4 linked regions of the Callithrix jacchus genome follow. The protein of the gene in region 1 purifies or fractionates together with the protein of each later gene. This does not show direct contact. Links are inferred from orthologs where the notes say so. Each region holds a gene or a part of one and is shown in the gene's direction. Other genes may lie near its edges.

Region 1 (5,060 bases):
AAAAACAAAAAAAAAAAACACCAGGGTTTTTCTGGTCACCATTTTTTAAGCACACATTTGACTGATACTGTGAACTGTCTACAGAGACTCCTTCCATCCTTTCCTATTCATAACCATGTGCAAGCCCAGACCCAGAAAGTCTAAAGTCCTGCCTGCCTTGGCTGATCCCACCCCACCCCACCCCCTTCTTTTCAAGGACCTGTCTCCTTGGCCCCAACTGTTGTGGGAATTGACAGCAAGGCCTCCAGGCCTCTCAAAACTCCCGACATCTGATGTCAATTAGGCCAGCACTCCTTTCCACATTCTTATCTAATCATCCCCACTTGTCCAGTTCACCTGTTAGGCCAAGATATCTTAGCAAAATTATCTGCCACACTTTTCATTATATACTGCAAAAATCCAGGGCTTTGCGGTTGGGATTCTTACACAGGAGCCAGGCCCACGGCCTGTAGGCTTTTTATCCAGACAACTTACCTAACAGTCCTGGGCTGGCCCTCATGACTAACGCACAGCAGCAGCTGCCGCCCTAACACTCTTAAAATCCCTCAAAATCACAGGCTATGCCCCATTTACCCTCCAGCTCTCACAGCCTCCAAAGTTTTCTCTTTACACACTTATTTTCAGCCCCTCGTCCTCTCCACTTTTATGCAGTCGCCCCTACTACTTAAACCGCACCTCAAAAAGTCTGTTTCTATTATCTTCTGTCTAACCGTGCTCAAATTCACTACACATTTACTGTTACATGCCCTGCTTTTGTTTAAGTTGCCAGCTTACACTTTTCCTCCAGGCAATTACAGCTAATATTTCACTCTTTTTTTTTTTTTTTGAGACGGAGTTTCGCTCTTGTTACCCAGGCTGGAGTGCAATGGCGCGATCTCGGCTCACCGCAACCTCTGTCTCCTGGGTTCAGGCAATTCTCCTGCCTCAGCCTCCTGAGTAGCTGGGATTACAGGCACGCACCACCGTGCCCAGCTAATTTTTTGTATTTTTAGTAGAGACGGGGTTTCACCATGTTGACCAGGATGGTCTCGACCTCTTGACGTCGTGATCCACCCGCCTCGGCCTCCCAAAGTGCTGGGATTACAGGCGTGAGCCACCGCTCCCGGCCCTGTTTACACTCTTACACCAAACAGTTTTTGGAAGAGATAATCTCAGACTTCATTCTTTCTCCTAGATTAAAGATCAATTGTCTTTGTTTTGTCTCGAGCTAGTCGAAACGTAAGTAAAACACCTTTTCCACGTTAATACTGCATTCTCAGGGATCTTGGGGTGTCCCGGGAGGGCGCGGTCTTCTTCCTGGAGGGGTGTGGATGCAGGGATGTGGGCGCCTTCTCCCGGCGCGGCGGGACCAGGACAGGAAGAAGCCAAGAAGGGTACGGGGACGCTCAGCCCGAATCTGCGGCTTGCCGGTAGGTGGCGGCTACGACCCAGTGGGCACAAGCCACTCAGACCGCCAGGGCTCCAAGCCCTCTCCAGCCTGCAGCCATTCCTCTCCCAGCCCCACCACCCCCTGCCGGGGACTAACATTCAGCACCGCCGGGGCAGTGAGGCCAGAGCCTGGTGTAGCGCCCCGCGGGGATATTCCATCTTTAAAATTTTCTGGTGAGCCGGTGAATCATGCAATTATCTCAAATATGAAAAAAAAGAAAAAGAGAAAAAAAAAAAAAAAAGCCAAGGGCGACGGGACACCCGGATGTACCAAGCACCGCTCTCTGGAGCCCCACCGCACATGCGCACCCTGTGGGCGTTGACGCGGGGGATAGGGCGGGGCTTGGGGGGGGGAGGGAAGAGGCAGGGCGGTGATTGGGCGAGAGGAGAGCCACGCCCTCGGAGCACCGTCTCTGCGCATGAGCCGGGACCAGCTTCTGGTACTTTCGAGAAGTCTGTTGACTTACCGTCTCAGTGCGCGTACCGGACGTCGGAGGTGGAGGTTGTGGAATTCGTTCTTCGAGAGAATTCACGAAAAGCCGCTTTCCGTCCTACATTCCTAAAGGAAGGCGTGTGTTGGGCCTTTCTTTCAGTCGTGAGGGAGGCGTCGACAGCCTGTGGTAAGTTTTCTGCTGACAGGGTCGACCTTTCAGTGGTCGCTCAGGAGTGAGGGTCAGGAGACGTGCCGGGCCCTCTATTTGGGGAAGGCAGCATTTCGATTTTGGGCTGCGGCGTCAGTGCGCTGAACGAAGTTTTTTTTTTTTTTTTTAAGATGGGGTTTCACCGTGATGGCCAGGCTGGTCTTGAACTCCTGACCTCAGGTGATCCACCCACCTCGGCCTCCCAAAGTGCTAGGGTTACAGGCGTGAGCCACCGCGCCTGGCCTGAACGGAGTTTTTAGGGCTCCCTTCGCGGCTCCGCTGCCTGCGCGTTGGCTCCGCCTCCGGGAGGGCGTCTTGCTGTGGCTTCCGGGCAGCCGAGCGTCTACTTCCGGGACTCGATTTGTTTTTTTCCTCTTGCTTTTTTAGGAAGTCTTGAGTTGAGGCTTGCGGGATCTTTTCCCGAGAAAGCGCAGGGTAAAGCCGCAGGTGAAGATGTCCAACTACGTGAACGACATGTGGCCCGGCTCGCCGCAGAAAGATTCGCCCTCAGCCTCGCGGTCGGGTGGGTCCAGCCGGCTGTCGTCGCGCTCTAGGAGCCGCTCTTTTTCCAGAAGCTCTCGGTCCCATTCCCGCGTCTCCAGTCGATTTTCGTCCAGGAGTCGGAGCCGGAGCCGGAGGAGCCGGTCAAGGTCCTGTTCCAGAAGGCGCCACCAGCGGAAGTACAGGCGCTACTCGCGGTCATTTTCGCGGAGCCGGTCGCGATCCCGCAGCCACCGGTACCAAGAGAGGCGCTACGGGCTGTCTAGGAGATACTACCGGTCTCCTTCGCGGTACCGTTCCCGGTCCCGTTCCCGTAGCAGGTCGCGCTCTCGGGGAAGGTCGTACTACGGAAGGGCGTACGCAATCGCGCGGGGGCGGCGCTATTACGGCTTCGGTCGCACAGTGTACCCGGAGGATTACGGCAGATGGAGGGACAGATCCAGGACGAGGTCGCGGAGCAGAACCCCCCTTCGCTTAAGTGAAAAAGGTGCGTCACTTATCTTTCCATTTTTGATAATCTATGGCTAGGGACGGTATAAAAGGAGGCTAAGGAACCAAAATTGCCTTGTAGTTTCAGTATTAGTTCCCGAAATCTTTTTCATCGTAGGAAAAGGGGAGGACATTATCTGTATGTAAATGGACAGCATTCTTTACCTTTAAAATTCAACTGGATGTTAAATGGTTCAGGATGGAGGGAACCTATTTTCCTAGTGGCTGACTGTTCTTAGTGGGTGGAGCCTTCTAAATGTTATGATTAAGTTAAAGTTTCTAAGATAATTATTGATTGGGAAGAACAATATGAAAACACGCCTTTGGCCGGGCGCGGTGGCTCACGCCTGTAATTCCAGCACTTTGGGAGGCCGAGGCGGGTGCATCACGAGGTCAAGAGATCGAGACCATCCTGGTCAACATGGTGAAACCCCGTCTCTACTAAAAAAATACAAAAATTAGCTGGGTATGGTGGCGCACGCCTGTGGTCCCAAGTACAGGGGAGGCTGAGGCAGAATTGCTTGAACCTGGGAGGCGGAAGTTGCAATGAGCCAAGACTGCGCCACTGCATTCCCGCCTGGCAACATAGCAAGACTCCGTCTCAGTTTAAAAAAAAAAAAAAAAAAGACAGATGTTATTATTGAACAAAATTGAATTGTCCAGTATCTTAAATGACTTACCAGGTCGGGGTGGCTAGTGTCTGTAATCCCAGCATTTGGGGAGGCGGAGGTGGGAGGTCACTTGAGACCAGGCGTTCCAGACCAGCCCGGCCGACATAGTGGAGACCCTATCTGTATTAAAAATACAAACTATTAGCCGGAGTGGTGGTGGAAATACACTTTGGAAGTGTATCAGTATTGGTTCAGTAGTTGTGATAATTGTACCATATAAAGAATATTGTTGCAGAAAACCCCGGTTTTCAGAAATAGACGTTTGAAGAGAAAGAAAAATAATAATGACGTTGACTATTAACTAGAGAAAATTACGTACAACGGAAATACAGACAAAATAACAGGACATTCAGGCCTTTGGTCAGGAAAACTGAAATTGAGATAATTTAAGAATTTTATTCTTTTCAGCAGAGGTAGAGAATAGAATTTTCAGTGAAAGTTACACAGTTACCCCTCCGTTTCTTCGGGGGATTGGTTGCAGGACCAATATGGAACTTCCGCACACTTGAGGTTTCCAGTTTCTCAAATACTGTAGTACTTCGCCTGCATTTAGGAGGAGGAAAGCATCCAAGTATAAGTGGACCAGCACAGCTCAAACCAGAGCAACCTTACTTTGTAATTCTGAGTTCTCTTGGGGGGAAATAACTACCAGGTTAATGAGTGTTTAAATTGATTTTTCTTTTTAGATCGAATGGAGCTGTTAGAAATAGCAAAAGCCAATGCAGCGAAAGCTTTAGGAACAACGAACATTGAATTGCCAGCTAGTCTCAGAACTGTTCCTGTAGCCAAAGAAACAAGCCGTGGAACAAGTTTATCAAGTAATGGTGCAAAGCCCGAAGTAAGTATTCTAGGTTTGTCCTAACAAAACCTTAAGAAAGCCACTGTCAAATCTGATTAGCCATTTATTATTTATTTACCTTAGACTATACTTTTTGGAAAGTCTAGCTATATATGTAAAACGTGTTGAATTCTGAGTAGCAGATCTGAAGATAGGCAAAGCCATACCCAGGAAAGTGGAGATTAATGAACTTAATTGGCCGTGTGTGGTGCCTCATGCCTGTAATGAGGCAGATAGCTTGAGTCCAGGAGTTCAAGATCAGCCTGGACAACGTGGCTGCGTCTTTACAAAAAATACAAAAATGGTGGCACATGACTGTAGTCTCAGCTGTTTGGGAGGCTGAGGCGGAAGGATGTTTCAGCCCAGGTTGCAAGGTTGCACCATTGTACTCCAGCCTGGGCAGCAGAGCGAGACCCAGTCTGAAAAAAAATTTTTTGTTTTACTTTTTTTCAGTTAACACAGTACTGCTAGTCTCAACGTTAATATATTGTA
Region 2 (4,296 bases), on another chromosome or scaffold:
TTTCCCCTTAAAAACTAAATTGGGATAGTAAAAATCTTGGCTATATTTTAATGGTTAACAAGGGGGAAAATATCTTGCAGTGGACGACAGATGAAGACTTAACTGAAGCAGTTCATTCTTTGGGAGTAAATGATATTTTGGAGATAAAATTTTTTGAAAATCGGGCAAATGGCCAGTCAAAGGGGTAAGAATTCTTTCTTTCTTTTTGACTTAGTAGCTAGTGATACAGTTTTTACAAGTTAACTTTCCTTTAAGTTAGTGTTAATTAATTACACTTGTGGAGGTTCTTGGACAAAGATGGATACTATTCATTTTATATACCCTGTTACCTAGCACACTAAAACTAGTGGAGTGGAGATGTGGACAGATCTGTTTTCTAATTTTCCCAAGTTTTCTCCATCTGTGGTTGAGATGGTTGTTGAAATGACAGTTTAAGAACCATTATTCTCTCTGTGATTAAGAGATGGGAGAAGATGAGCAACTGAAGAATGATGTGTATTACATGGCTGTTTTGCTTTATTTAACTATTGAACTGTACAAGTGAGAAGGATGAGAATGAGAATATCCAGAAGTAAGGAAATAAAATGTCACTATCCTACCATCCATTGATAATTACTTTTAACATAGTGAAGATTCTTTTGGGCTTTTCCTTAAAAACGAAAGGAATTATAATTCATGTGTTTGTGTTTGATATAAGGAACAAAAATAAATACACATCCTCTCTAATGTCATAGAGAGATAATTTAGAAAGGTAATTTAAATTAGAAAGGTAAACGAATGCCTGTAATTTACCTTTCTTATTTTTTGTTATTTTGCTTGTTTCCACTTTTGCCTGTTATAAATAATGTTGCAGCAGGCATCATTTATCTACGTCTTCAGGTACAGATTTTGGGTTTTCTTTTAAGGATAAATTGTTAGATGCACAAAGATAAAGAATATGCTTATTTCGTATATTGCTTAGTTATCTTAGAAGGTTATACCAGTTTATACTAAATGAGAATATTTTTAAAATATTTGCAGAGTCTGAACGCTTCTCACCAACTTCACTTACACCACTTGATCAAAGCCACTATCCTCTCTCACTTGAACTTTAGCAGTAGCTTCCTAACTGGAAGTATAGACTGCCCTCTACAGTCTGTGCTTCACATAGTAGAAGTTCTTTTAAAAAATGACATCAATTCCTTTCTGCTCAGAATATTTTCATGGCTTCCTGTCTCAGTCTTTACCACTGTCTACAAGGTACTTTGTGATCTGTTTCCCACTACCTTTCTGACCCTATTTCCTATCACTCTTTTTCATCCACATTAGTCCCTTTGCTGTTTGTCAGACCAATTCTTACCTAGGACGTTTAGCTGTTTTCTCTTCCTGGTTTACTTTTCCCCCTCAGATATCCACATGGCTTACTCTTTTGCTTAATTTAGGACTCACACTGTTTGAGAGTTTTTCTTCCAAGACTACCTTGTGCAAAGTAGCAGCTTCCTATTTTGTTTCCTTTATTTCTGCTCTGATAGATTTTACTTGTTTGCTGTCTCTTCTTGCTAGACTTTAAGCTTCACGAGAGCAGATTTTGTTTTGTTCACTATTACATCCCCAGCTCTAGAATGGTACCTTGCGTATAGGAAGTGGTGCTTAATAAATATTTGTTAAATTAATTTAGTTGCTTCTAAATGTTGTGACCTAAGAGAATCCTGGCACAATCAACAGAATTTGTTGACTAGAATAAGAAGTATAGGTTAAAAAGATTATATTGAGCATTAGGGGGGAAAAGATCTTGAGCTTTTTAAGCTGCTAAGACCCTCCATCCCTCAAAGAATTTAGAATATCCTATAGCTATACAAATTGGTAATCATTCTGATTATTTTAAATTTGTTTTTCTTGTTGAGATATGATTCATATGCCTTAAAATACACACTTTTAAAGTGTACAATTCAGTGATACTTGTATTTATGAAGTTTGGCAATCATTACCACTGTCTCTACAGAACATTTCATCACCCCAAGAAGAAACCTTGTACCTGATTAGCAGTCACTCCCATTTCCTTTTTTTCTATCTGCTGGCAACCACTAACGTGCTCTGGATAGGCCTATTCTGGACATTTCATTTAAATGTAATAATATGTAGTCCTATGTGACTGGCTTTCTTCCTTAGCATAATGTTTTTAAGGTTCATCCATGTTGAAGCATGCATCAACATCTCATTTAATGGCTGAATAATATTCCACTACATGGATATAGCACTTTTTTAATCTATCAGTTGATGGACATCTCGGTTATTTCCACTTTTGGTTATTAAGGAAAATGCCCCTGTGAATATTTGTATACCCATTTTGTGTGAACATGTATTTTCAATTCTGTTGAATGTATACTTAGGAGTGGAATTACTGGGTTATATGGTAACTCGATGTTTAAACTTTTGAGGAATTTTCAGATTGTTGCCAGAGTCATTGCACCATTATTAATATGTACTGATCACCAGTGTGCAAAGATTGCAGTTTCTTTACATATTTAATACTTGGGTATGGGGTGGTATCCTGTGGTCTTGATTTGCACTTCCCCAATGGTGTTGTACATCTTTTTATTGTGGCAAACAGTAGAAGCAACTCAAATGTCCATGAACTGATGAATAAGTTTCTTTTAATGTGGTATATTTATAATGGAAAATTATTCAGCTTTAAAAATAAATGAAGTGGTGATGCATGCTGTAACAAGGGATGAACCTTGAAAATACACCAGTTAAAGAAGCTGATCCTAAGGGACCTCCTATTGTATGATTCCATTTAGATGAAATGTCCAGGATAGGCCAGTACAAAGACAGAAATTAGATCTACTGGTTCTATAGAGTACAAGGATGGGAAGAAATGGGAGTGATGGCTAACGGATATGGAGTTTCTTTTTGGGGTGTTGCAAACGTTTTAAAATTGATGGTGGTGGTGGTTTTAACACTGTGAAATACTAAAAAAACACTGAATTATACATTTTAAATGACTGAATTTTATGGTATGCTATAGAAGATGAATAAAAAATGTGTACTTGTATAGTTTCAAGAAATATTTTCAGTTTTTAAAGTTATTTACTTTTAGAGACAGGATCTTGCCCTGTTGCCCAGGCTGGAGTGCAGTAGTGTGATTATAGTTTATTGTAGCCTCAAACTCCTGGGTTTAAGCAATCCTGCCTCAGCCTTCTAAGCAGCTGGGATTAAGGCATAAGCCACTGTGCCCAGCTGTTTTTTGTTTGTTTTACATAAAAGCAGATTAGATTAAGACATTTTTATAGAAGAGTAATAGTAATAATATTGATCTCTTTGTATCCTCACCCCTTAAACACCTTTTAGGTTTGCCCTTGTTGGTGTTGGATCTGAAGCATCTTCAAAAAAGTTAATGGATCTGTTGCCTAAAAGAGAACTTCATGGTCAGAATCCTGTTGTAACTCCATGCAATAAACAGTTCCTGAGTCAATTTGAAATGCAGTCCAGGAAAAGTAAGCAATCCGTTAGAGGCTTTTATTAAAATACGTACATTTTAACCAGTGCATTTGTTAGGTGTTAACACTAGAGAAGTCATCTTAATACTAGTTCACTAGAAACTCCATTTCACAAAGTCCATGCTCTTTGAATTTGATTTAATCACTGGTTATGAGTGTCGGTCTATGTACTAGAAACCTCCTGTTCCATATTTCTCCAAATGTAAGGGACTCAGTAGTACACAACAGTGTGCAAGTTCTGTAGCCCTGCCATTCTTTTTCTATTATTTCCATCTTAGATACAGAAAGAAACTACATTGTAATTCTTAGATTCAAGGAAAGCTATGTGGATGTGTGTTATGGTGGGGGAGAGATCACTGATAACCAGAAAATGTTCATTGATTTTTCTGCTTGGCAACAAGACCTTTCACCACTTGGTAAATTGAATATAGAAAAGATTTGTCATTGCATATTTAAGGATGTTATCACTTAAAGAGATAAGATGGATAATTATGTAATTAACAGAAATTCAAGTGGTTCCTTTTCTTTTAATATTTTAGCACTTAAGGCTTAACTGAAGAAGTATGTTACAAAATTTAAATGATGTAATACTCAAATTAAGATATCTTGAAGAATTTCGGTCTTGGCTGCTGCAGAGTACTGGTATTGAAAGTAACTGATATTTACTTATGTAAAATATATTTAAACCTGGATATTTTGAGTCTTTAAAAGTACCCAAATAAATGTGAATGTTTTCCTTACCCATACTTTGTCATGTAGTTTGGATAGTCACAAGGCATTTGCAAGTTAACATATTGTATAAATGAACTTTGAAATA
Region 3 (4,841 bases), on another chromosome or scaffold:
TTAATTGTTGGGTTTTAAGAGTTCTTTAGTTTATTCTGGGTATAATTCTCTTATCACATTAATGATTTGCATGTATTACTTCCCATTTTGTGGGTTTTCTTTTCATTCTTGGTAATGTCCTCTGACACAAAAGTTATTTATTTTGATGAAGTTCATTTTAACCTGTTTTTTTTTTTTTGGGTCACTTGCGCTTTTTTACTTTTTACTTTGCTTTTGATTCACCAAGTGCAACTTGTGCTTTTTTAGTGTCACATCCAAGAAACCACTGCCTAATCCAAGGTTGTGAAGATTGATGCCTTATTTTTTTCAAAGCGTTTTCTAGTTTTAGCTCTTAGTTTAGGTCTCCGATCCATTTTGAGTATGGTGTAAAGTAAGGTCCTGATTCGCTTTGCCTATTGCATAGCGTGTTTTTTCCCATACACAGGTCAGTTGTGTCATCATTTAAAAACCATTTGCACAAGCTTTTCACAGCTATTTGAGGGCCATTAAAAATAACAGTGACGAACATCATTGCAGGAGCTCAGCTTGGTCAGCACAGTTAGAATTAAATAGATTTCTGTCAACTTCAGACTGCCACTGTTATTATGGAAAAGTGACTTCATGGCACAGCAGCTAGTTAGCACAAGTCGAGGGGGCAGCACTTAATGTATTCTTGAATAGTACCTGCCCAAGTTGCGTAGTCCAGCAGGTCTAGTTCTAAACCTCATGTTCTGAACCTCAGGAATTTTGACTCAAACTTTGGAATATGATTTGTCATGTGTGGATTCTTGCACCTTAAAATTGTCATTAGTTGGTTTTTCGGGCCTGCTTTGTGATGATAAAACTTCCCATAAGTACTCTGAAGAATGACTTTACTACAGCCTTTGTTCTTTGTGAGGCATCCCCACTCCTGGGGCCAGGATGCTCTCACCCTCCATTGCTCCTTCCTTTCCTTGCAGGGCAGATTTTCTGATGGGGAAGGCTCTTAAAGGGGCTTCTGGTCCATCTCACCAGCTTCTCAGGTCCCTACTTTTACCAAGCATTCCCTGGAAAGACCAGGGTGAGCAGGGTCTGCCAACTATGGACATGAGATGCCCAGTCAACACACGGTAGTGAGCCCTGGGATACTGGCCTGTTGGGAGTAACTCATGCATGATTTGTTTGGCTGAGATAAACTGAGGCCAGCTTTGGCTTCCAGCAGCTGTCACATGGTAGGCACACTTCAGACCTGCTGAGTCACTGGGGATTGGAGGTAGGCAGCCAACCTTGTTTGAAGTTCTGCATGAAACTCAGCCAGCCAGGATAGAGACATTGTTTCAATAGGCCTTTTTAACTGTAGCAGACCTCCATGTATATGTGTTAACCTACTCAGTTAAAACTCCGCCTTGTCTGTTGTCTCTTGCCCTTTTAGAATCACTGTCACTTTCAATATTAACAACAGCATCCCACCAACATTTGATGGTGAGGAGGAACCCTCGAAAGGGCAGAAGGTTGAAGAACAGGAGGTAAGCTTAACACTGTAATCAGCTTTTACCTAAGTTCTGACAGGCTGTCACTGGGGCTGAGAGGAGGAGCATTTTTCTTTGTTCATTAAAAAAAAAAATCCTCTAAGGCTAGGCCCATGGCTCCCACCTATAATCCCAGCCCTTTGGGAGGCCAAGCTGGAAAGATCCCTTGAGGCCAGGAGTTTGAGACCAGCCTGAGGAACATGGCAAGACCCTGCTTCTACGAACATTTAAAAAAAAAAATTAACTGGGCATGGTGGCACATGACTGTGGTTCCAGCTATGCAGGAGACTGAGGCAGGAGGAATCAGTGGTTTCTGACCAGCTTTAGCAGCACTGTGGCTCCCTTTTCTTTCCCAGGGACCGAATATGTTGCTTACAGTCAAGTAGATGAAGTGAGGACAGTGTTCTCTTAATGGAAAGGATATGAAACAGTCTCAACCTTTCCCATGATAGGGAGACTTTTTTTTTTGAGACGGTCTCACTCCATTGCCCAGCCTAGAGTGCAGTGGTGCAATCTCTGCTCACTGCAACTTTCGCCTCTCAGGTTCAAGTGATTCCCCAGCCTCAGCCTCCCGAGTACCTGGGATTACAGGCATGCACCACCACAACCAGCTAATATTTGTATTTTTAGTACAGATGGGGTTTCACCATGTTTGCCAGACTGGCCTTGAACTCCTGACCTCAAGTGATCCGCCCACCTGCGCCTCCCAAAGTGCTGGGATTACAGACGTGAGCCACCAATGCCCAGCCTCTTCCAACATTTTAAGAAGTGCTGTGCCCGGCCTAGTAGCCAGCCAGTATGAGAGCCAGAGTCCCTAGAGCTTCTGCCAAAGCAGCCATCAGTACAGTGTTGTTTCATGACCTGGTATGGTCAGCATAGCTCTCTGGTATGCTTCTTTCCCAGCCACCCCAACTATCATTTCCCTGACATTGGACCTAGTCTGCTCCCAGAGCTCACCATCAGTAAAAGTTGGTGCTGTCATTCAGCCATAAGGATGGCCATTTAACCAGGTTCCCCAGCCTTTGACCCTGGTCCCTTATGAAGACTCTTGGAACAGTCAAGCTGGAAAGAGATCTTGAAACTTTCTGCAGTATATGGGTGGAGAAAAAGGCTTGGAATGTTAAGGGACTGATAGAAACTCAGTTAATTGGCACATGGCTGAGGCTGGTATCCTTTTATTTATTTTTTCTTTTGGAGACAGTCTCGCTGTCGTCAGCCTGGGCTGGAGTGTAATGGCAAGATCATGGCTCACTGCAACCTCCGCCTCCCAGTTTCCACCGATTCTCCTGCCTCAGCCTCCTGAGTAGCTGAGATTACAGGCGCTTACCACCACACCTGGCTAATTTTTGTATTTTTAGTAGAGATAGGGTTTTACCATGTTGGCCAGACTGGTCTTGAACTACCGACCTCAGGTGTACCACCCTCCTCAGCCTCCCAAAGTGTTGGGATTATAGGCCTGAGCTGTGAAGAGATAAAGCTCTCCATTTGGGAACAGTATGGCATAAGACTATTAAAATGGCTACATTGTATCCTAGCAGTGGTGGCCATCAGACACTCTGAACTGTCTGAGATCCCTGATCCAGGCATCCATCTCCTTCCAGCAATGGCATGTACTGACTTCTTGTTTCTTTTCCCAGCCTGAATTGACATCAACTCCCAATTTCGTGGTTGAAGTTATAAAGAATGATGGCAAGAAGGCCCTTGTGCTGGACTGTCATTATCCAGAAGATGAGGTAAGCAGGATGGAGTGCTAGCCCCTTGGTACCCCTGGGGAACACAGCGTGTCTCTTGGGAACTTCCTGTCCCTTTTAGTAGACATTTAAAGATTTTCTAGCTTAGACCAGCAAAGCCAGGGGAGGGAGAGGTATGAAGTGAGGGAAGAGTATTAAAACCTAATGAGTGATATGCTGTCAGTGACCCCCTTTCTTTGTATGAGTCTGGCTTGTCCTGGAAAACTCTTCAGTTTCCCCAGATACTGTTTCTTCTCAGGTTGGACAAGAGGATGAGGCTGAGAGTGACATCTTCTCTATCAGGGAAGTTAGCTTTCAGTCCACTGGCAACTCTGAATGGAAGGATACTAATTACACACTCAACACAGATTCCCTGGACTGGGTGAGTGCTTGATAAGATGGGGGAATCTTTCGGACCTTGCAAGGGAGGGTCCTAGTTCAAGGAGAGAAAGAAGAATTTTAATGGAAATTAGAGATTTTTTTTTTAACTAGTAAATGTTGTTCTTTGCAGGCCTTGTATGACCACCTAATGGATTTCCTTGCGGACCGAGGGGTGGACAACACTTTTGCAGATGAGTTGGTGGAGCTCAGCACAGCCCTGGAGCACCAGGAGTACATTACTTTTCTTGAAGACCTCAAAAGTTTTGTCAAGAGCAAGTAGAGCAGACAGACACTGAAAGCCATAGTTTTATGGCAGGCTTTGGCCATTAAACAAATCCAAGTCAGAAGCTAGACACGTGCTTTGAAATTATTATCCTAATATCATGGGAAAAAAACATCAAATTTAAATTATATGTTTTACGCTCTCATTTATTACCATTTTTTTCTGTACAAATCTATTATTTGTAGATTTTTGTATAACATAATAGACAATAAAATTGGTTTATCTCCTCCAAGGCAGTTTGTCTTTTCTATTCCTCCCCCTTAAACCTGCGTCACAAAAAAACAAAAACAGATACTGGGAAAGGTTTTCTTTTTTTTTTCATTCAGTATCGTTGAAAAATTTCAATATAAAATAAGTTAGAAATAAAAGACTTATATGTACAAGGCTCCTCAGAGGGAATGAGTTGTCTTCAACTGGATAGAATGATGTGACTCCAAGCTGGCTCTAGAGGATTACAGCCCAAGTATCACAAGCCTAGGTTTAAACAGGAAAATAATTAGCTTAAATTGTATTCTAGTCATGACAGTTATCACTAGTGTAATTTGTCAAGGAGGTCACTGATGACTGCCCCTCTTGCTTTGCTGGGCCTCTGCCCTGCAGCCTTCAAACAACTGTCTTGGAAACCTTCAGCATCAATATAGTCTTCAAGCTAAGATTAAATCCTGTAGATGAACTAATCAAACACCCTTACCCTCAGGAAGCCAGTGACCAGAAAGACTGTATTCAAACTCTTGATAGCCTGGGGCCTTTAAAGCCCAGCAGGAAGATGAGACTCCAAATCTACACAAGATTGATGCAGGTATGTATCATAGGGGAGGTACAAACCATGCATGATCAGTATAGGCAGAAAACTGTCTTCCCCTTGATTTGTAAGCACCTGAGTGTAAAACTGGCTCCCAGTTCCCTGATGGCTCAGCCTACCAATATGCTGAGGAATCCAGTTTGTCCTTAATCTATTTA
Region 4 (4,934 bases), on another chromosome or scaffold:
CTTGGTATGAGAAAAGAATGCATAAGATCTGGATTTTTTTAATGTTGAATACTTGTTGAAATACTTGGATAAATTGGGTTAAATACATAACTAAAATGTTCAATTGTTTCTTTTACTTTTTAATCGTGGCTGCTAGAAGATTCTAGTCTACGTGTGACTCACATATTTCTAGGTTCTGAGACAGTGCCCTGGCCCATTTTATTGAACGAAATATCCAATCTCGAGAGGTCGAATGAATGGGTGAATGAAGATGTATAGTCTCAAGCTTCCATTAGAAAAATAGATACAGCATTGCCGTAGAAGTTTGGAGATACGGGTTCTGGCTCAGAATGTACTGGAAACGCCTTGGACAAGCCCTACCCTACTCTGGCCGTCAATTTGCCCATTAGATAGTATCTTTGAGGTCTGGAAGCTTGCTAGAATCAGTGGAAGAGAAATGCATCAGGAAAGCTTGATAAAACGGCACTTGTCGTTTCCGCTCTAGCCTAAACACTTGAGGCTCGGCAGAGGCAGCGGGAATCAGGGACTACACCCCGAGAACCCAGTACCCGGGTCCCCGACTTCTCCGAGCCTACGTCACTGGGGCGCGACGGCGTTGTCCTCGGGATTGCAGCGGCTGAGAAATTCCATTCGGTGAAGGCGAGTTCCGGGCCAACAGAGGGTCACACCATTTCCGAGTCTCTCGGAGGCTCAGTTCTCAGTGCACCATCACCCACCGCTCTCCCTTTTACTTCACCCCTATCCGACTCTTGGCCCGGACCCTGTGAACCCCGCCCGGAGCGTCCAAAGCCGAGTCTCATCGCGGCTGCGCAGGGCACGTGCACAACCTCGCAGAAGTCTCGGCGATTGGCTGTGACGCAATTTCCGGCGTGAGCGGCGAAAGCCGGGAGGGCGAGCGAGAGTGCGACCAGGCAGCAGGCTGCCGGCGGGCGGGCGGGCGGCACGGAGGGAGGGAACGAGCGAGCAGTGAGTGAGCCAGCGAGGGCGGCCGGGTCCCGAGGTCAGCCGAGATTCCGCAGGTACCTCTGGCCCCCTCCCCGGAGTCCACAGCGCCTCCGGTGTCCCGCGGATCGGACACGGCCCGGCCCGGCCATGGCCTCGTTGCTGAAGGTGGATCAGGAAGTGAAGCTCAAGGTAGCGGCGCCAGTCCGGCCTTTTTGCCCCTCACTTTGATCCCCCAGTAGTCTGACCGGCTTCCTACTCCCCATGGCGTCTTTGTCTCCCTGGGGATACCAGCTCTGAGCTTCCGCTCGGCTCAGCCCAGCCCCCAGCTCCTGGGGTCGGCTTCGCGGGAGAAGAAAATATAGGATGGCTTTCTGTACCGTGTCTGATGATGAAGAGTCCCGGGGTCACCTCCGCGGACACGTGTTGGACTCAGGGCTTTAGGCCGGTGACAGCTGGAAATCCCCCAGCCCAGCAACGTCCCTGGGCACTGCCCCTGCCCTTGGTGGTCTGCCTTGTATCATAGGCCAAGTCTGGGTGGGGATTGGCACGTTTGTGAGCTCACATCTCCCCTAACTACCTGTCTTTTGTCTGCTTATGAAATTCAGACAGCTTCAGACACAGGGAGGGTGGGAGGGAGAGGAGAGGAGACAGGCAGGTGCTGCCCTCAAGCCCTGCGTCCTTCTCCTGAGATGGAAAAATGGGTCCTCAAAAAAATAAAGTATTTGCAGTCTGGGGGCCTCTCAGCTTCATATTACAGTTACAAGGTGAGGGAAAGACAGTTGGATTTGGGATTCTCTATCCTGCTCTTACCTCTGTCCCCAGGTACTCAATTGCTCTCTTTGTTAATTTTAGGTTGATTCTTTCAGGGAGCGGATCACAAGTGAGGTGAGTGAAATAAATAGAAAAATGGGTGTTGGTTAATTGAGAGTTTCCCAAAGAGGAGATATCTATATAGAGAGACCTTCCCACAGATACTAATTCAGCTGTATTTTCCCTCCTCTTTAGGCAGAAGACTTGGTGGCAAATTTTTTCCCAAAGAAGTTATTAGAACTTGATAGTTTTCTGAAGGTGAGAGACCCTTTTCTTTCCTCAGATTCCCCAATTTTTTTGGCCCTGGTATTACTGTCAAGCGGGACAAATTGTGTGTTGAATCTTCTTCTTTTTATTTTTTTAAACTGTAAAAGCACTTTGATTTCTTGCCCTTCAAATCAAATACTTCTTTGTTCAACTTGAAAAGATTAATGTTTTGGGGTGGGTGTCTTTCAGGAACCAATCTTAAACATCCATGACCTAACTCAGATCCACTCTGACATGAATCTCCCAGTCCCTGACCCCATTCTTCTCACCAATAGCCATGATGGACTGGATGGTGTAAGTGTCCTATGTTTATCTTTGTGTTCTTGAGCAGTCGGTCCTCTGTCCTGTTTCCTTGTCAGTTCAACATGTACAGAGGCAACAGTGGGATTTGGACCTGGGAACTAGGACTCTGTTATAGACATGCTGACTCTAGTGTACTCCTTTTATTTCTTATTTATTTATTTATTTTTGAGAAAGAGTGTCACTTTTTTTTTGCCTGGGCTGGACTGTGGCAGCTCAAGCACTGCTCACTGCAGCCTTGACCTCCCGGACTCAAGCAATTTTCTTTCCTCAGCCCCCCAAGTAGCTGGGACTACAGGAGTACGCCACCATGCCCAGCTGATTTTTGTATTTTTTGTAGAGACGGGGTTTCACCATGATGTCCAGGCTGGTCTCAACTCCTAAGCTCAAGCAATCAGCCTACCTTGGCCTCCCAGAGTTGGGATTACAGGCGTGAACCACTGCACGGGGCCTCTCGTATATTCCTTTTAGACCCTGAGTTTCATTTATGACATGAAGTCAATATGCTAATGCTATTTTCAGTGTTAGAGTGAGTTTCAAATAAAAGAAAACTAGCTTTATCAGGTTACCTGGATTTTCCCATGGCTCTGAAGAAGACTTTACTTACCTTTTTTCTATGTCCTGAGTAGTATTACGGGATACAGAGTTGTTCTTGCTATATAACTGCAATCACCGTCTTTGCTCTACATTTTTAACACCTAGTCCTTACCAGTCACATGTTCACGTGCTGTTAGAACACTGATGATACTGTATTCTTGTCTGTAGTACTGCCTCACTGATGGAACTTGTATATCTGGAAGGCAGGATCTATCTTCTTTTTTTTTTTTTGAGACAGAGTCTCACTCTGTTGCCTAGGCTAGAGTACAGTGGTACGATCTTGACCTACCTACTGAAACCTCTGCCTCCGAGGTTCAAGTGATTCTCCCGCCTCAGCCTCCTGCGTAGGTGGGGTTACAGGTATACACCAACATGCCTGGTTAATTTTTTTATTTTTAGTGGTGACAGGGTTTCACCATGTTGGCCAGACTGGTATCGAACTCCTGACCTCAAGTGATCCGCCCACCTTGGCCTCCCAAAGTGCTGGGATTACAGGCATGAGCCACCGTGGTCCAGCTGGAAGGAACTATCTTATTCTCTGTATTCCCAGTGCCTAGTGTTGATCCTCATCTATGGCAGTTGCTAAATACATGTTTGTTGACTGAATAATGTGTTCCTTTGTGGAACCAGCAGATTTGTACATATTCCCTTAATTATCCTCCCTGCTTTGATTGGTTCTTTTTTCCTATTCTTTATAATACTTAATGTATTGTATTTCTGGAAAGATTGGTCTTCCCAACTAGAGCATAATTTGCTTTGTGGCAAGAACCTTTTCTTTCTTTTTTTGAGGGGGGACAGAGTCTCACTCTGTTACCTAGGCTGGAGTGCAGTGGCACAATCTCGGCTCACTGCAGCCTCAAACTCTTGGGCTCAAGCCATCCTCCTACCTCAGCCTCTCAGGTAACTGGGCCTGCAGGTGCATGTTCCATCATGTCCAGCTAGTATTTTTTGTGGAGATGGGGTTTCCCTACATTGCCTGGGCTTGTTTCAAGTAATCCACATGCCTCGGCCTCCCAAAGTGCTGGGATTACAGGCATGAGCCACGGCGCCCAGCCCAAGAATCTTTTCTTTTTCTTTTTTTTCTTTTTTGAGAAGAGTTTTGCTCTTGTCACCCAGGCTAGAAGACAGTGGTGTGATCTCAGCTCACTGCAACCTCTGCCTCCCAGGTTCAAGCGATTTTCCGGCCTCGGCCTCCCAAGTAGCTGGGATTACAGGCGCCTGCCACCACACCTGGCTAATTTTTCATATTTTTAGTAGAGATAGGATTTCACCATATTGACTAGGCTGGTCTTGAACTCCTTACCTCAGGTCATCCACCCACCTGGGCCTCCCAAGGAGCTGGGATTTCACATGTGAGCCACTGTGCCCAGCCTCCGAGAACCTTTTCTTAAAGCTTTATATGTACTTAGGAAATTGTACAGAAATTAATAACACAAGCTGTGAGGCTGAGGAAGGGATTAAACTTGTTTGAAGGGTATCTTGTGATGGAAATGTGGGTGTCAAAAGCAGGCTCATCCCTGCCTCTTTGTATCCATAGCCCACTTATAAGAAGCGAAGGTTGGATGAGTGTGAAGAAGCCTTCCAAGGTAAGAGCCACCCTTACCTCCTCTCCCCTCACCTCACCCCTGACTTGCAGCCCTGAGAAGCAGGATGGATATAGTGTTCTGACCAGGAAGCAAGATCTAATCTTATTTCCCAGAAGCAGCATTCCCAGCTCCTCCAAACGTGCTCGTTATTTAGTGTTCCTGGTTTTCCAATAAACAGAGTTTAAGCCTTCTGTCCTATTTTAGATGTGCATCTGTTGTTCTTTTGTTCCATCCATTCTCATTGATTCTAATAGTGGTGTCATGGTAGGGTTGTGACAAATGGAAGGCAGAGGTCGTAGCATGTGATCGGTATAGAGAAAATGAGAAAAAATTAGGGGATACTGTGTCCTTTCCTCTTCCCTGATCGTTTGACCTTCGTATCTCTGCCAGGAACCAAGGTGTTTGTCATGCCCAATGGGATGCTGAAAA

Evidence for each region.
Region 2: the proteins of RSRP1 (region 1) and CPSF6 purify together in Homo sapiens (affinity purification with mass spectrometry; 3 studies listed by BioGRID and IntAct, with this or other methods). This does not show direct contact. The link is inferred for Callithrix jacchus from reciprocal best matches to the Homo sapiens genes RSRP1 and CPSF6.
Region 3: the proteins of RSRP1 (region 1) and C1QBP purify together in Homo sapiens (affinity purification with mass spectrometry; 3 studies listed by BioGRID and IntAct, counting the BioPlex papers as one, with this or other methods). This does not show direct contact. The link is inferred for Callithrix jacchus from reciprocal best matches to the Homo sapiens genes RSRP1 and C1QBP.
Region 4: the proteins of RSRP1 (region 1) and PSME3 purify together in Homo sapiens (affinity purification with mass spectrometry; 3 studies listed by BioGRID and IntAct, counting the BioPlex papers as one, with this or other methods). This does not show direct contact. The link is inferred for Callithrix jacchus from reciprocal best matches to the Homo sapiens genes RSRP1 and PSME3.

What each region holds. Positions count from the first base shown.
Region 1 is NC_133508.1:61,969,418-61,974,477, reverse strand, and holds the start of RSRP1 (arginine/serine-rich protein 1), read left to right. Parts: upstream 1-1,901; 5' UTR 1,902-2,048; exon of another isoform or gene 2,049-2,361; intron 2,362-2,456; 5' UTR 2,457-2,522; coding exon 2,523-3,057; intron 3,058-4,101; exon of another isoform or gene 4,102-4,273; intron 4,274-4,416; coding exon 4,417-4,568; intron 4,569-5,060.
Region 2 is NC_133510.1:71,750,564-71,754,859, forward strand, and holds part of CPSF6 (cleavage and polyadenylation specificity factor subunit 6), read left to right. Parts: intron 1-80; coding exon 81-184; intron 185-3,330; coding exon 3,331-3,476; intron 3,477-4,296. UniProt on the Homo sapiens protein: Component of the cleavage factor Im (CFIm) complex that functions as an activator of the pre-mRNA 3'-end cleavage and polyadenylation processing required for the maturation of pre-mRNA into functional mRNAs.
Region 3 is NC_133506.1:106,963,694-106,968,534, reverse strand, and holds the end of C1QBP (complement component 1 Q subcomponent-binding protein, mitochondrial), read left to right. Parts: intron 1-1,390; coding exon 1,391-1,484; intron 1,485-3,124; coding exon 3,125-3,220; intron 3,221-3,476; coding exon 3,477-3,599; intron 3,600-3,728; coding exon 3,729-3,878; 3' UTR 3,879-4,113; downstream 4,114-4,841. Other genes in the region: RPAIN (RPA-interacting protein), read right to left, coding at 4,326-4,355.
Region 4 is NC_133506.1:121,060,820-121,065,753, reverse strand, and holds the start of PSME3 (proteasome activator complex subunit 3), read left to right. Parts: upstream 1-1,548; 5' UTR 1,549-1,634; coding exon 1,635-1,709; intron 1,710-1,797; coding exon 1,798-1,830; intron 1,831-1,950; coding exon 1,951-2,013; intron 2,014-2,211; coding exon 2,212-2,316; intron 2,317-4,456; coding exon 4,457-4,505; intron 4,506-4,895; coding exon 4,896-4,934. UniProt on the Homo sapiens protein: Subunit of the 11S REG-gamma (also called PA28-gamma) proteasome regulator, a doughnut-shaped homoheptamer which associates with the proteasome. 11S REG-gamma activates the trypsin-like catalytic subunit of the proteasome but inhibits the chymotrypsin-like and postglutamyl-preferring (PGPH) subunits.